2 linked regions of the Drosophila melanogaster genome follow. The gene in region 2 interacts genetically with the main gene of each other region. Each region holds a gene or a part of one and is shown on either strand. Other genes may lie near its edges.

Evidence for each region.
Region 1: of msd1 (region 2) and cnn, changing one enhances a phenotype caused by changing the other (phenotypic enhancement), as found in Drosophila melanogaster (one study listed by BioGRID).

What each region holds. Positions count from the first base shown.
Region 1 is NT_033778.4:13,447,190-13,452,444, forward strand, and holds the start of cnn (centrosomin), read right to left. Parts: upstream 3,287-5,255; 5' UTR 3,170-3,286; coding exon 2,985-3,169; intron 2,212-2,984; exon of another isoform or gene 1,808-2,211; intron 140-1,807; exon of another isoform or gene 44-139; coding exon of another isoform or gene 1-43. Other genes in the region: Golgin97 (golgin 97), read left to right, coding at 3,636-3,809, 3,901-4,686, 4,739-4,837, 5,133-5,255. UniProt on the Drosophila melanogaster protein: Core component of the centrosome throughout spermatogenesis. May participate in mitotic spindle assembly and the mechanics of morphogenesis through an interaction with microtubules, either directly or indirectly. Is a target of several homeotic genes.
Region 2 is NT_037436.4:1,329,915-1,332,958, forward strand, and holds msd1 (mitotic spindle density 1), read left to right. Parts: upstream 1-1,829; 5' UTR 1,830-1,867; coding exon 1,868-1,904; intron 1,905-1,959; coding exon 1,960-2,339; 3' UTR 2,340-2,412; downstream 2,413-3,044. Other genes in the region: ND-ACP (NADH dehydrogenase (ubiquinone) acyl carrier protein), read left to right, coding at 227-376, 949-1,035, 1,128-1,256, 1,366-1,545; msd5 (mitotic spindle density 5), read right to left, coding at 2,438-3,044. UniProt on the Drosophila melanogaster protein: As part of the augmin complex, plays a role in centrosome-independent generation of spindle microtubules.

The sequences.
Region 1 (5,255 bases), on a different chromosome or scaffold from region 2:
CCGACGAGTGATTTAGTGAGGTAGATCGAAAGATACCCGCCATATTCTATGTTTCATTTAACATTTGCGCTCTTATTAGCGTTTATTTATATTCTTTTCACTTTCCTTCAGTTCTCTTCTGTAGATATTTGCAGCGACTCTAATTTTGAGATTTAATTAGTTGCTTTTACACGGGGTGGACACGTCATTCCTGGCTGCTGCTGCGGCTGCTGTTGTTGTTGTTGTTCTTGGCTTTATTCCCTAAATACTTTCGCGGCGCACGCCAAACTTCGTTACGTATCCGCCATGTCGTCTTCGAAGGGACGGGCAGCCATGAGTCATGGGCTGCTGGGCGATGCGACGTGCGCAGCAGCAATCAGGAGCATTCAGCCGTAGAGCGGAAGAAGAGTCTTCAAAGAGTCTGGCGCTCCTACGGACGGGATGCATCCCCAACAGGACGGGGGGTTGGACGACGGCACATGTGGGCCACCGCATCGTTGAAGATACTAACCACCACATACACTGCACCACGCACCGCCTCTGGTCGTTATTTATTTTGGGAATTGAGCAAACAGCAAAACGGCGACCGCATTAGAAACAGCAATTTGTGAACGGGACAAGAAAATTCTGCCAAACATTTTCACTCATTGTTTTGTTTTGGCATTCGGCTATCGCTGGTTACTATGGTGGTAATGAAAATCAATGGTTTAAGCCGACAGCTGAGCGACCTGGTCACTGGGAACAACAGGTGTGCATTTTGAACCGTGCCGGAACATGTGTCTCTTCGTTTAGCACCTGAACTTTGCCGCGAATGCATTTTAGGGCCCTCACATCGACAGGTAAACTGCAGTTAACAGCCCATTCTCACCTCACCTGGAACGCAGACGCGACTCATCTACCTGGCTGCCTGGCGCGCCTCGAGTGGGTGTCAAACTATGGCCAACGACACACAAAGGCGCCTGCCTTAATCAACAAAGAAATACAATAACAATAAACAGAAGTGGATCGAGACTATAGCGAGTGATATGCGAGGAAAGCATCTTAAGACAATAACCATATGACGAAGGACGCACTGAATCTTGAAGGCTTTTGAACAGGATGTCAAATGTCACTCATATTCATAAATCGAATCAAAACATTCATAAAATATGCAAGATGTTTATTGTTCAAAATTAGAAAGGAAATTTCAATTGAATAAGAAATAAAATATAACATTACTCAATTAAATTATGACTAAAGTGTGTTTTTTTTTAATTCCTTATTTAAATTTAAATGAATGCGATAAAAACAAAACTAAATGAGCCATTTGCATGATAAATTCTACTTATGATCCCTCAAATTACATATCATACAAACGATACTGTACTTTACCAACCAGGATGCTTTGTTTTTCGAGGGTAGGGAAGTCAGCGTTGCAGTTTTGGAAGGGCAACAAAAGAGGTGCTCTGTTCGGTTTTTACCCCATAGGGGTTAATTCCACGAGTCCATGACCCCTGATGAATGCACATGTGTATATAACTAACTAACCCACACACACACACATGGAGCATACGACGAAACTGCAGTCTGATAAGACGACTTGTGACGAAATTCAGAGTTCCAGGAAGTGCGAAAACGCAGATAATGATATAGGTTGTTGCGGCTGTCGATTGAGCCATGGAATGCTCTATTTCACAAACAAATTAATTCGTATACTTTTTCTCCGACTAAAATTAGCCGCAGCATCGTGGCGACAAAAACGACAAACGAACAACAACAACAACAGCAGCAGCAGCAGCATCAGGGGGCACAAGCACAGATATCTTTAGTATTTCTAAGTATATATTACATTTATTGTAAATCCGAGCACACTTTGTACTTTATATATCTGTGTATTTCGATTTGGTTTTTTGTTTTTCATCCGAGAACCACCAGCATCCCACTAATCGCTTATCCACAGCAACGAATGCAATAAATTACAAATCAATCTATCACTTTTTGTATCTCGCAGTGCAATATAAACAATTGCACTTATGTACAGATATGTATGTACAATCAATCACTCACACACCCGCACAACGCTTGACCCGCTGATTGTTTCTATTTACATATATGTATGTATATATGGGTAAGTGAGTATATAGATATGTATGTATGTACATATGGCACGATTGATAGCCGAGAGGCAAGCAAAATAAACCGAAAAACGCTCTCTGCACGTCCAAATAAACCGAAAGCTAGAACATAACTGACTGAAACTGCGATGCGACCGATTCAGAGCGACCAAAGGCAGAGCAGCAAACGGGCGGAAAACTCGGGCTCATCTGCGAGGAAAAAGGAAAATGCGCTCAGCAGATGTTACGCATTTCCCAATGCCGTACACAGCGAGAAAGCGGTCAGCAAACTCAGTTCATTGGCTACGAATAGAATACAGAAATATCTGTTGTATACTTAAGGGATTACATTTGTGTTCCCAATTCTTTTTCTTTTAAATTTTCATTTTCATTAGGAATCAGAATAGTAATAGTAAATCTAAAGATTATAATAAAAAAATGTATTAAACTTTGACTCTATTCAGCATTTGAAAAAGTGATGAAGCATACAATCTTAAAAATAAAAGTACATCTTATAAGAGTACCTTACAAATCTTATTTCATTTAAAATCGTAAATTAATCCAAATCACTTAATGTTTTTAAAAAACATTTTAAAATAAATATTGATGGAAATTTAGCTTTAAAATTTTTTTCAGTGCAGATGTATTATTGTTCCTCTCTTCGAATTTTTTGGGGTGGGTAATACGCCCATTGTACGCCTGTGCTTGTGAGTATGCCTCCCCCTATGGGGCCGAGCAGTACGGATGCGGGAGAGCTCCAGCTGAGAGCGTTAGTTCCCGATCACAGTGGGCACGATCACCATGTCACATGGCGATCATCTGCTGCGCACTCGCAGTTGCCAGGGATTTCGATGGATTTGCCACACAAGTCTTATTGGTAAGCTATTGTTTATGCTAGTGTTTTGGACTTACTCGTCTATGCTTTTGGACAGTGCCTCGGCTAGTTTGCGCAGGACCCTTCTGTCGATTTCGGCGGCGCCATTCTCCTCCAGGAAACTGGTCACGGTCTCAATTAAGGTGATTTCCTTCAAGGACGATGCACAGGTACCATTGCCGTCGCCGCAATAGTCCCGCAAAACCTGTTTAGACTGGTCCATGGGAGGTCCTCAAATAGTTAACTTTCGCACACAATAATTCTAACACTTGACAATTTCACAAAGGACGCTAACAATTACACTTTTTTTCTGTTTGGAAAATGAAGCGCGCTGGAACAGCTGTTTCTGGCGTCAGTTATCGAAATGCTGCCATGCGCACTGGCAGCACTGCCGTACAACGGGAAAAAGTTAACACAGCGGTATGGCAACGCTGTTCGTCGATTTACGTTACTGCAAAGTCGATTCTTATCGATGGTAAACAACATCGACGGTTTACGAAAATTAGCATTCGCCTGATAAGCAAGTAGAACACTACGGCCACCAGATATAACGCCATGCTATAAACGCTCTGTGGGCACGTTTTCGTCAGCCCCAGCCACAAGCAGGCCAACTTCAGTCGGGGGCAGTACACATACAGAAAATAGAGCAGCGCAACAGAGAAAAAGCTCCCCCCTCGAAAAACCTAACAATGTTTGCTACACTGAAAAACAAGATCAAGGAGGAAACTGGCGATGATGTGGTCCAATCAGCCAATCAACGTTATCCCGGCAACAACAACAACAATTACCGGCTACGTAGTCGCCGCGTTAGCATTAATTCCAACTCAGCTGATGATGTGGGCGGTGGCGGATTCTACAATGAGGTAAACTGAGCGAAAAAAAAACAGTCTATTTGTGTATACTTACACATTAAACAAAAACACGGATAAACAAACACCTTCACTCTTTTCGCAGTCGGAGCAATTGTGCGAGCTGCGAAGTCAGTGCAACGAGCTCACCACGAAGCTGTCCACCGTCACGCAGGGATTGCAGCAGCTGCAGGAGGAGAAGACGCGCGTGGACAAGACCAACGAGATTCTGCTAGAGAGTGTGCGTGTGGCCCAGACGCAGAAGGACATATACTGCGAGGAGCAGGAGAAGATTCAGAATCTACAGCAAATCGAGATTGACAAGCTGAAGAATCTGCTTAGCTTTCGGGAGCAGGAGTCGGTGGATCGCATGGGTCTCATGCGCCAGCAGACCCAGCAAATCGAGTCCTTGAGCGAGGAACTAGAACGTCTGCGTCCCATTGAATCCGTGGCCGAAGATTTACGCGACGAACTAGAGCAACTGCGACATTCTACACAGCAGGAGAAGAATCTGCTGACCACAACACTGGCGGCTGTACAGGAGGAGAACCGGCACCTCAAAAAGCGCATGAAAATCGTCGAGGAGTCGCGACTCGAGTCTCTGGGCAAACTGAACTCCGAGCAACAAGTGCAAGCCCTTATCCGGGAACATAAACTGCTGGAACAGCACTTAGAGGAGGCCCATCTGCAGTTGTCGGACATCAAAGGCTCGTGGAGTGGCCAGAATCTGGCGCTGGAAACCCAAGTTAGTCGTCTATCCAAGCAAGTGGCCGAAGAGACCACCGAAAAGCGAAAGGCCCTTAAATCCCGCGACGATGCCATTGAAAGCCGCAAGCAGGTATCATTCGAACTCGAAAAAGCCAAAGATGAAATAAAGCAGCGGGACGATAAGGTAGGTTAGATAGTAATACCTATGTGCCAATACTTATGCACTTTAATTGCAGGTCAAGCTGCTGGAGGAGGAAATCGATGAACTTAGTGTGGCCCTGAAAGAGTGCCGAGAGGAGAACGAGCAGCAAGTCCTCTTTGAGCGCAATAAATCTGTGAGTATGCCTCCCGATTCTGACGATTTCCATTGGGACTTGTAACACTAATTTAACCAACAATGCAGTACTAACTCTACCAATTAAGCTCCTGGTTTACTTGGAATTTTCCAACCACACCTATTATGTAGTTTTTGATTGTAAATGTTTTCCTTTTCGTATTAAACTGATTTAATCGTTGGCAAACTTTTTGGTAAACTTTTTCCTTCAATAATGCACGCATATATATGTTTACCCTCAATATCCAAAACTGATTGATGGAGATTTTGTAAACCAATAAACCGAATGTTCTCAGCAAAATTTGGAAACAGAGGTAAAAGATCTCAAGACTCGTCTCACGGCAGCGGATGACAGGTTCAGCGAGTACTCCTCGAATGCCGAGCAGGTGGCCCAAAAGCTACGGGTTCAGGTGACTGAA
Region 2 (3,044 bases):
TCAAGTATTAAGTATTTTTAGTATTTATTTGCGTAAGTTGAGAAACAGCTTAGTACATTGCGCATACGGTCACACTGCTACCTTGCTGTCTTTTTCTTGCTCCAGCACTTTTACATAATCTTGAAAACTCAGCGTAAATATCGCCCAAAATACGAGACCTGCACTCGTGCACCGTCTGCAGAGATGCGATACTAACCCGCTGCGTTTCCGTTGCAGGAGAACCGAGATGTCGTTCACACAGATCGCGCGCAGCTGCAGTCGACTGGCGGCCACTTTGGCCCCAAGGAGGGTCGCCTCCGGCATTCTCATCCAATCACAGGCCTCCAGGATGATGCACAGGATCGCCGTGCCATCGATGACCAGCCAGTTGAGCCAAGTAAGCGAACGTCCAAAGCGGTCCCTTCCGTTGCAGGAGCCCCAATCGCAGTTGAGGACCTAACCTCATCGCAAACGGCGGGGTTTCGTGATCTACGAGTTTCAAAACATTCAATTAAGTGCTTGCAATCATGAACGCAACAGAAGATCCTCGCCATGTGGCCGTCGAACCACCCAATTCGATTGCATCACATTATTTTGCATAAAACATGATTGTTTCCCTATCGCACACACACACACATACACCTGCAACACCGGTGCTCGCACTTGTGTGCGGTTGATTGTACTACAGTGAAAATCCTCTAGAAGTGACCTTAAAATGTAGCGGTTTTAAAACATGTGATTTCAGTTTGTTAAATATCTAAATATGTTTCCACGCCAATCCAAGCAATAGTTTTCGCGGTATTTAATCAGTTGATCATACACCATCGAACCACCCTCGTTTAAATTGCGTATATATTTACACTGCTCATTGAAGAATTAGCTAAGTTGTATGCACCATAAGTCGTAGATGAACTACCAATGCAATTATTCATATAGAGACGAAAATTCACTAGACATTAACATTCGCAGAAGTTCGGTGTGCGCAGCTACTCGGCCAAGAGCACCATCGAGGACATCAAGTTCCGCGTGCTAAAGGTTGTCTCCGCCTACGACAAAGTGACCGCCGAAAAGGTAAAGTACCCATTGCATGGCGCCACTAATCCGGTCTTTGTTTCCTTCCTTTTTTTCTCGGGCCGGCCAAAAACCAGGAGTGCCGTGGTCGCTGGCAAACGCAATTGGTGCGCAGATACTCGGCGAAACCGCCGCTCTCGCTGAAGCTGATCAATGAGCGCGTCTTGCTTGTGCTCAAGCTCTACGACAAGATCGATCCCAGCAAGGTAAACGCCACATATTGCCTTTGCCAGTGCAATGGTCGCCTCAGAAATCAGAACTGAACAAAGCTGATGAAACCTTTGAATACCCAATGCTAATGGCTCGCATTTACAGCTCAACGTTGAGTCGCACTTCATCAACGACTTGGGACTGGATTCCTTGGACCACGTGGAGGTCATCATGGCCATGGAGGACGAGTTCGGTTTCGAGATCCCCGACTCTGATGCCGAGAAGCTGCTTAAACCTGCCGACATTATTAAGTACGTCGCCGACAAGGAGGATGTGTACGAGTAAATTGTAATTGTAATGCAAGCCATTGAACGGATTACACTTAAATTTAAATAGAAAACAAGTCAAATACAATTTGATCAACTGAATAAACCAAACGTTAAATTAACTTGTAGTCAGCAATTGTACACGAGGGCTATAATTAACTGCGGAATAGCAGCTAATAAATTAACTATCCAAATAAATAAACGAGTCATTTAGTACTGGCGGTTAAATTTAAATTTCGATAGAAACGTTGGTCTTTCGATTGTTTTAGAAAGCCTTGTGTATTTTAGATACGCAGCGACGGTCACGTTAATCTGCTAGCATTACAAACAGAATATTCGAAATGTCAGACGCTGTGGACAAAATGTTGGCGGGAATGGGTAAATATATCTTTAAACCACCGACACGCGTTCTATTCCGTGCTTCCAATTTCAGCGGCCAATCGGCAGACCATGAACCGCCAGCTGGCTAAGATAGACGAGATAATGGAGCGGTCGAACAACACATTGCTCCACATCGAGTCCAACAGCAAGGCATTCAGTCAGAATGTGGCTTTGTCGGAGACCCAGAAGATGTACAACCTCAGGCCGGAGGCTGAGATGACCCTGTCCAAGATCCTGGAGAACTTCAAGCTGCTCATGTCTAGCAGTGACCAGCGGGAGGAGACATACAGCGCTCTGGAGGGCTGCCTGGCCTACAGGCATCGCGTGGAGCACCTTGGCAGCTCCGTGCGTAAGCTGGTGGCGCTCTACGACACCGTGGGCCAGATGAAGAACTCACAGGAAGAGCAGTATGCCAGCGAGGATTCCCCCTAGCTCATCCATTTTTAGAATTTATTATTATGTTATAGTTGAAAAATAATTTAAATAAATTAAACATTTGATTTGTATTTAAAGCTCTTTAAGCGAGGTTTTCAAATCATGGCCATATTGTAGCTGCTGACTTGGAGAAGCGTATAGGTAAGCACCTCTACGAACATCTCCAGGCGAGCGGCAAGACTCCCGGTGGCGAGTATCTCATTGGGATTGGGCAGCTGGAGGCTGTTGGAGCGCAGGTAGTTGAGCTGTTCCATATTGGCGGCTATGGTCAGAAGCTTCTCCTGCTGCTCGGATGTAAAAGCATCTGGCGGAGACTCACCGCCGGTTGGCATGAGCTTTTCCAGCTGCTGCGCAAATCCATGGAGCTGCGTCAGCTTCTGCTTGTATATGGATTCTGTGGTGTCCAGAGCGGCTGCCTCGTCGTAGATCTTGGCCAGCTTTCGCTGGAAACCCTTAAAATCATTGTACACGTCCACGGCACTGCGCTGCTCCTCCAGACGCGTCAGACTCAGCGAAACGTTGGATGTGTTGATGCCCATGGCCACCGACTCGTCTGCTCCTCGCAGGAGCGTTGAGTTGGTACGTTGTAGCTCCCGCTTCTTGGGCATTTTCTGCAGGTTGGCCGGGTACTCTTCCAAGGTCTTGAAGAGCTCCGCATAGTCGGCTACCGAGCTAAGATCCCTCGGGGGCGTAGTGGCTGCT